Cricetulus griseus: one gene and its partner. The protein of the gene in region 1 interacts with the protein of each later gene in a biochemical or structural test. Links are inferred from orthologs where the notes say so. Each region holds a gene or a part of one and is shown on either strand. Other genes may lie near its edges. The genes, in order: Thbs1 and Plg.

Region 1 (3,501 bases):
TCGGTGTGACTACAGTGAAATCTAATCACTGGGAGCTTACCTGATGTAACCTGTCTTTGGCCTGTGGCTGAGACGCCATCTGTAAGCAGTGAAATCCTTCCAGCCTATGTGACGAGGGTCATGCCACAGGGTGCGCACCTGAAGGAAAAGGACCAGAAAAGGTTGAAACATAGCTCCCTCTGAAGACTCACATTTCATTCCACAAGAAACTGCTTAAAAGGCACCGAGTTGACCTGTATTTGGAGAAGGGGCAGTAGGGAGTTTTCCCCAAGGTATCTCTGATTTACTGTGTGCCTTTCAGTGACTATAGAGCAGAGAGAAGACAAGGAAAGGAGGGCTTTGTTTGAAGTGGCTGAAGCCACCTGAGGATTTAAAGGGGACCTCTTGGCCAGAGCCCACTCACTTCTCCTGTTCCCCACCAAGGGCCCATCAACTCTTCCTTCTAGACTATGTGGCTTCTTACCTGGCCAGGGGTGTTTCCTGTGTGCCACAGAGCATTCCGCAGGTGCTCGCCAGGCCCTGTGGTGGAATTCACAACCTTTACAGACAGGCCTGAATATCCCTGAGCCCTTGTGGGGTTGGTGTCCCAGTAGGACTGGGTAACTTGTTTCCACATCACAACATAGAAGCGGCTGCTGGACTGGTAGCCAAACACAAAGCCAGCATAGTCGTCATCTCTCTCAGTGTTGATGAAGAAGGTACCACTAAAGTCCACGGCATTAAACTCATCATAACCTGGAAGGCAAGGCCAGAGTCAGGTTAAAGGCTGTGGCTTTTACAGGGTTCTCCATTATGTTCCCAGATCTCCTGAGGTCATAGGTCCTATCCATAGGTTCAATGGTCATAATTCATATTTGTCTCCTTAGGATGTATTCGCCTATGGAACTAAGGAACTCACTACTCACCTACAGCAAGACCAGGATCACAGTTTACAGTTTGGACAAGTTCTTTGCCCTGATGGCGTACAACCCAGTTAGGGTCATTCTGGGAGGTTCCTTTGGGATCCAGAGGAATCATCTGGAACCGGCGGAAATCGGTTTCACTGATGTCAACATTCTCAGGACAGATGTCATCAATGTCTGGCACATTATCATGGTCAAAGTCATCTTTGCAGGCATCACCTCTGCCATCACCTAATGTCAAAGAAGGCAAAAAGTTCAGTGAAGTTCTGAAATGCTCTTATCAGTGGCTCACAAATTCACCATCTTGTCAAAAAACTGGTGTTGTGTTACTTAACCCTCTCATATGCTGTTTTTATTTCTTCCGTTACACAGCTAAGGTGTCAGTTTTGCTATTCAGTGGTGATCACAGTGACTCACCATCAGAGTCCTTCTGGTCAGGATTGGGCACCAGCCTGCAGTTGTCCCTGTCATCAGGAATGCCATCGTTGTCATCATCGTGGTCACAGGCATCTCCTTTGCCATCTTTATCATGGTCAGCCTGGTTGGCATTAGGCACGTAGGGACAGTTGTCCATATTATTCTGATGGCCATCCTCATCAATGTCCTGATTGTTGTCACAGGTGTCCCCAATGAGGTCTGAGTCAGAGTCCAGCTGGAAGAGTGACATTAATAGTGGGTGAATCAAATAATAACACACTAGGGTCAAAGGTAGCATCAATGCCCCCGGGGCAGGGAACATTCTCCATGTTGGACATAGACAGTGGGGATCATTTTTACCTCTCTATTACTGCAGAAAAACCATCAAGTTTTAAAGAGGGTTTTATCTTGAAAATTGAGGTAATAGTTAATATTTGAAAATATGCACAAGAAGGCTTTCTAACTAGCACAGAATTATTTGTAAATCACTCCAGGGAATGCAATGTTTATTGTTTATACTTAAATTTTAAATGAAATCCCCTTATGTACATTTTGTAATTTCCCATTAACACTAACAGCATAATTATTGACAGGTCAACTTATACTCCAGGCCTTGAATCATGGCAGCTGTCTGTCTATGCAGACTGTCTGCATAATATGGATGAGATTAATTTTTTTTTTATTTTTGAGGCACTTGGCTTTCTACATCTATTCAATAAAGATTTCATCTGTTGGCTCAGATAAACTCAAACTCTAAAATTTTTTCAAAACAGATTTTCCAGAGTACTTAGGATTCAATATGTGTGAGGTGCTTAGGGACTGTTTATATAAAAACTGGATGTTTTCTTGCCAGTAGTCAAATTCTTTGCTTTTGAGATTTTTCTAGGGTGTTTGAATTTGCTTATAAAATTTAATCTGAGGAATCAAAGACCCATTCAGTGAGGTTAAATGCTATTTAATATGTTGAATGTCTGGCAGACCCAAATTCAGAGCAGGGATCTCAGTGCCAAGTGACCAGCGGAGACTACAGGGCACTGAGGGTTTCCTATGATGATAGCTTGAAGTCATCTTGCTTTGAGCATGATTCAAGTTCACAATTAGGAGAAACTTAAATTCTCATTTCTATAATCCTTAAAATTTTCTGTTTAAGTGTCTGATTGCTAAACCTTTCAGAACCATCATATTAGGAAAAAGAAAGCTTGCTGTGTGTGTGTGTGTGTGTGTGTGTGTGTGTGTGTGTGTGTGTGTGTGTGTGTTTTCCCCTAGAAACAATGTACAATGACACAAAGTGAAACACTCTGGTCCTGAGAACTTGTGTGTTGACACCCATCCACACCACCCGGGGCACCTACAGCTGCACTGCTGGGAGGAGCCTGAGAGGCTGGGTTCACTGGGAGACTGGGAGAAATCAGACTTCCACCAGCTTTGAGAGGTTTTTAGCTTCCTGATTTCTTATCAGACTCTGCTGCTAGCCACAACACGGGCTTATTTCACTTCTGGATACTGCCTTCCTCTGTTTTACATGCATCAGATACAACTGAAACTGTGGGTCTCAGATCTTTGTGTAATTTATCTTAATGATGGCAGCAAACAAGACTGAGGCCACAGAACTTCCATCCTAATCTCTGGGAGAGTTTGCCAAGGGCTCATATCAGGCAACCTTTACAGGCATGCATTGCAAATGGGGGATCCTGAGAACCCCAGTGATGGGAGGGTTTGGAGTTTATTGAACTAACTGTTTTAGAGGTGTACAAAGGGAGACACAATTCCTCACTGAGAGATTCTGGAAGGAGTTCACCTACCTGGTCTGGATTGTGTTCCAGGGGGCAGTTGTCACACTGATCTCCAACTCCATCCATGTCGGTGTCCCTCTGGTCCACATTGTACACATACTGGCAGTTGTCTCGTTCATTGAGGATTCCTAAGGAGGGGGGTGTAGATGGGAGCTGAGTCCTTCAGCCACATATATTTCAACTAAATCACACATTAAGCCACTGAGTAAACTGTTTGTGTCTCTGTAAACTTTTTAGGCTGCCAAGGCAGGGAATGCCTTACCATCTCCATCGATGTCCACAGCACAGGCGTCTCCCTCTCCATTGTTGTCTGTGTCTGCTTGGTCAGGGTTGTGGTTGTAGGGGCAGTTGTCACAGCGGTCTCCCACATCATCTCTGTCATAGTCATA
Region 2 (3,829 bases), on another chromosome or scaffold:
ACTGCGGTAATGAGATGATGATAATGGTGATGGTGGAGGCGATGACTGTGAGGGTGCTAGGCATCCTGTGATGGTGAGGTGGAAATGTTGATGGTGATACAGATGATGGTGATGGCAGAGATGCTGATGCTGATGATGTGATGGAGACACCAGTGGTGAAGGAGTGGTGTCTATCAGAATGACGACAATGATGATGGAGAGGGTATGGTGATGCCGTGGTGATGCCATGGTGATGATGGTGGAGACGGTGATGATTGTGGTGGTGATAGATTGTGAAACAGAAATGTTGCTGATGATGGTGACAGTAATAATTGTAACAGTGATGTGGAAGTACGGGGGTTGATGATGATAGTTGTGGTGGGGCCTGGAGAGATGGCTCAGAGGTTAAGAGCACTGACTGTTCTTCCAGAGGTCCTGAGTTCAATTCCCAGCAACCACATGGTGGCTCAAACTATCTGTGACGAGATCTGATGCCCTCTTCTGGCTTGCAGGCAACATGCAGAGAGAATAATAAATAAATCTTTTTAAAAAAATAGATAATAGTTGTGGTGTTGGTAGTAGTGATGGTGATGATGAGCCTGAGGCAAAGATACTGATGGTGATGATGGCAATGGAGATTATGGTGCTAGTGGTGGTGATGATAGTAATGATGATATATTAATTATAGAATAATATTAACACCCACAATGACCTTATAAAGTAGTATAGATGTGGACACTGATTCTTAAAGAAGTTAGCTAACTTCTCAGTGTCACAGGGACACTGAGCTGGAGTTTACTACCAGATACTTAGGAGTTTAGATCCATCTTTAACCGAGATACTTTCCATGTTTCTGTGAGCAAATACATGATCAAAAGGGAGGAATATTTCTTTTGGTTTATGGTTCCAGTGTAGCCTCTCATGGAATGGCAACAGCTGAGTTTGCAACTGTGCCAGGGGGCTGCTTGCTCACATCTTGGTGGATCAGGAAACAGAAAAAGGGTAGGACTGATGCTCACGGGTTACCTCCCTTTACCCTTTTAATTAATCTGGGCTTCCAGATGTGGGTGAATCTCCTCTCCTTAGTTAAACCCCCCTGGAGATGCTCTCACAGATATGCCCAGAGTTGTGTCTCACAGGTGATTCTAATCAAGTTGACAGTAAAGATGGATCACAAAGTTGATTTTTTTTCTGGCTCCTTAGCAGTCTTTCACCCAACATTCCAGAGGCCTGCAGAGGGACCTACTCTTCGTTCCTCCTGAGTATGAGTGGTCCTCACCCCCAGCTCTAGACCAGACCATGTAGCATAGGTCTGAGCCAGGTGTAACTGTTTCAGAAGTAGCTCATGACCAGAGTCTGAACTGTCCAAGCTAGGCAGGTAATTGTTGCCACTGGGAGAAAAGGGACATCCTTCATTCCCAATGGCAGAGCCAAAATTGACTCAACATGTGCAGCTGCAAGGAAGGCAATCCCCTGTGTGGCCAGAGTGACACCTAGGTGGTGCTGGACAGAGCCTAAGGCCTGGTCCATCACAAAAGCCAAGTGACTGCCTAGGCCATTAGGAATTCCCTTAATTTTGCTTAATTCAACTTAAGTTGCATTTTCTGTGGTTTACCAGAAGGAGTCCCATTGGCTACAACTGTGCTCCATCTTCAAGAGTGACATCTATGCCGCACGAACACCCAACACTTTGTTCACTTTCTCACTGCTTCCCCCACGACAGCCCTGCAGATGCTCTCAGTCTAGGACACTGTCAGTGGGATGTCCCTAATTATCCACAGCTGGTGAGTGGGAACCTGGGCTCCTCTCCAGGTCTCTGTAGTCAGGAACAGGCCTTTGTCCCTGCTGCTGTGTGACCACATGTCTCTGAGCACCAGGTTCCTCATTCACACAAAGGAGTGATTTTTTTTTTTTTTTTTTTTTTTTTTTTTTTTTTTTTTTTTTTGCAAAGCACTAAGAACAACCTCGCACTTCCTTGGGGAACATATCAGTTACCCAGGTTTCCCTTCCTTGACCTCAGTGCTACAGAATCATAAGTGTGCTGAGGAAGAGTAGAAATCAGTGCAATGAGGGGAAGCCAGGTTTGGGATGATGTAGACTAGTGGGTCTGCGTGTGTGTGTGTGTGTGTGTGTGTGTGTGTGTGTGTGTGTGTGTGTGTGTGTGTGTGTGTCTGCTTGTGCACAAAATCTTTCTTTGAAAAAAAGACTTCTCCAGAGGATGGAGCCAGCACACTCCCCAATGCTCCTGAGAGGGAGGCCACGTTTGTAAGGTGCTCTTACTGTCCCCAAGGCAGCTTGCTGGGTTAATTATCACTAGGCATATGCAAAGAGAGAAGGAGAGTCCCTAAAGTAAGTACACATCGTGATAGTGGGGCCTGCATGAAGTTTCTTTCCAGCCCTGACCCTATCAGCTGTATCTAGACAGCTGGGGCCTTTCTGTCCTCCCCACACTGTCCATTTGTCCCCTGTCTAACTGCCTCTCACACACATTAAGTATGTGAGTATTTGGGGGGACAATTAGTTTAACTACAACTTTTGCTGTTATTATGTTAACTCCATATTTGAGAACTCAAAATAGTAAAGTCACACGAAAAGTGCAGGCTAATTGGCAGGTTATGCCAAAGCCTCTCCCCTGAGGAAAAGATGCTTGCATTGCAACTGTAAGTTAAGGGTCTAAGGAGCAGCCCTTTTCCTCACAGTTTGGTGACTGTGGAGATGTAGCAAGTGCCCAGACAAATCCAGAAAGGAGCTGGACCACATTCACATGCAGGACTTTGCGCAACTTGCTCTAAATTGTTCCCTTTGTCATATAGTCTGTAGGTCAAAGCCACTTTATCTCACCTTGAGTGTCTCCCCAGCCAGTGATGTAACATAGTGTCCGGTCAGCAACCACGTAATTTGGAGATGGCAAACAAGCTGGAATGACTTTATTGGTGATGGTGGCAGGGCTGAAAGGTAAGCATCAAATGTTACAGCAACTGCTCTGCGAGAGGCTTCCACCCTTCACCTGCAGATCCCTGGCAGCCAAGCATCACCTGTCTCAATGTCCCAGCATTCTCTGAGCTGTTTTTCTTTACTTCATTGACATAGAACAATATAGAAAACCCTTCATCCTCACACTGCCCTACAGTGCCCTGTGAGCTAAATGATCAATTGTATGGGAGGGTATGTATGTTCATGCACATGTGTCCACACAGGTACCAAAGGCACACTTGGGCATTTGCTGATAGAGGCCAGAGGCTGACATCAGGAGTCTTCTTCGATTGCTCATCATTTGAGACAATATCTTCCACTGAACTGGAGTTCACTGAGTTGGTGAGACTGGCTGCAGTGAGCTGCAGGGATCCTCCTGTCTCTGCCAAGCTTTTTACATGATTCTGGAGATTTGAGCTTGGGTCTCCATGTTTGAGTGGCAGGCACTTTACCAACTGGGGCCATTCTGGGAGTGAACCATCTGGATGCCACTCAGCTACACTAAAACCAAAAGGCATTTGGCCTGGACAAGTAGTTCCACCTTTTGGGGCCCCAAATCTCCTCACCAGTTAAAATGGTTATAAGAATCCAGGCAAATGGTGTGCACCAAGCAAGAGTGGGTTCCAAGTAAGCTTTTTGCAGAAGCAAAATGGCCCAGTTTTCATCTGTATAGAGGTTCGTGGATTCACAAGCGCCTTTTCAGAACTTAGTGAGTTTTTCAGCCCTTAGTGGAGTTCAAGAGGAAAAAGGACTGGAAATGAGAAATGCCTTGTCCTCATGGAGAATCCACACTGTCTCTAGCTTCAGAGCAGACACATTTTCCCAATGACCAAAGCAGACCCAACCTCTCTGAGGGATGTCATTCACAGGCTCCTTT

The links.
Region 2: the proteins of Thbs1 (region 1) and Plg form a complex in vitro, tested with the Homo sapiens proteins (2 studies listed by BioGRID). The link is inferred for Cricetulus griseus from reciprocal best matches to the Homo sapiens genes THBS1 and PLG.

Annotation. Positions count from the first base shown.
Region 1 is NC_048599.1:60,393,077-60,396,577, forward strand, and holds part of Thbs1 (thrombospondin-1), read right to left. Parts: coding exon 3,375-3,501; intron 3,241-3,374; coding exon 3,122-3,240; intron 1,555-3,121; coding exon 1,320-1,554; intron 1,134-1,319; coding exon 906-1,133; exon of another isoform or gene 890-905; coding exon of another isoform or gene 867-889; intron 736-866; coding exon 464-735; intron 139-463; coding exon 41-138; intron 1-40. UniProt on the Homo sapiens protein: Adhesive glycoprotein that mediates cell-to-cell and cell-to-matrix interactions.
Region 2 is NC_048595.1:288,586,655-288,590,483, forward strand, and holds part of Plg (plasminogen), read right to left. Parts: intron 2,928-3,829; coding exon 2,821-2,927; intron 1-2,820. UniProt on the Homo sapiens protein: Plasmin dissolves the fibrin of blood clots and acts as a proteolytic factor in a variety of other processes including embryonic development, tissue remodeling, tumor invasion, and inflammation. In ovulation, weakens the walls of the Graafian follicle.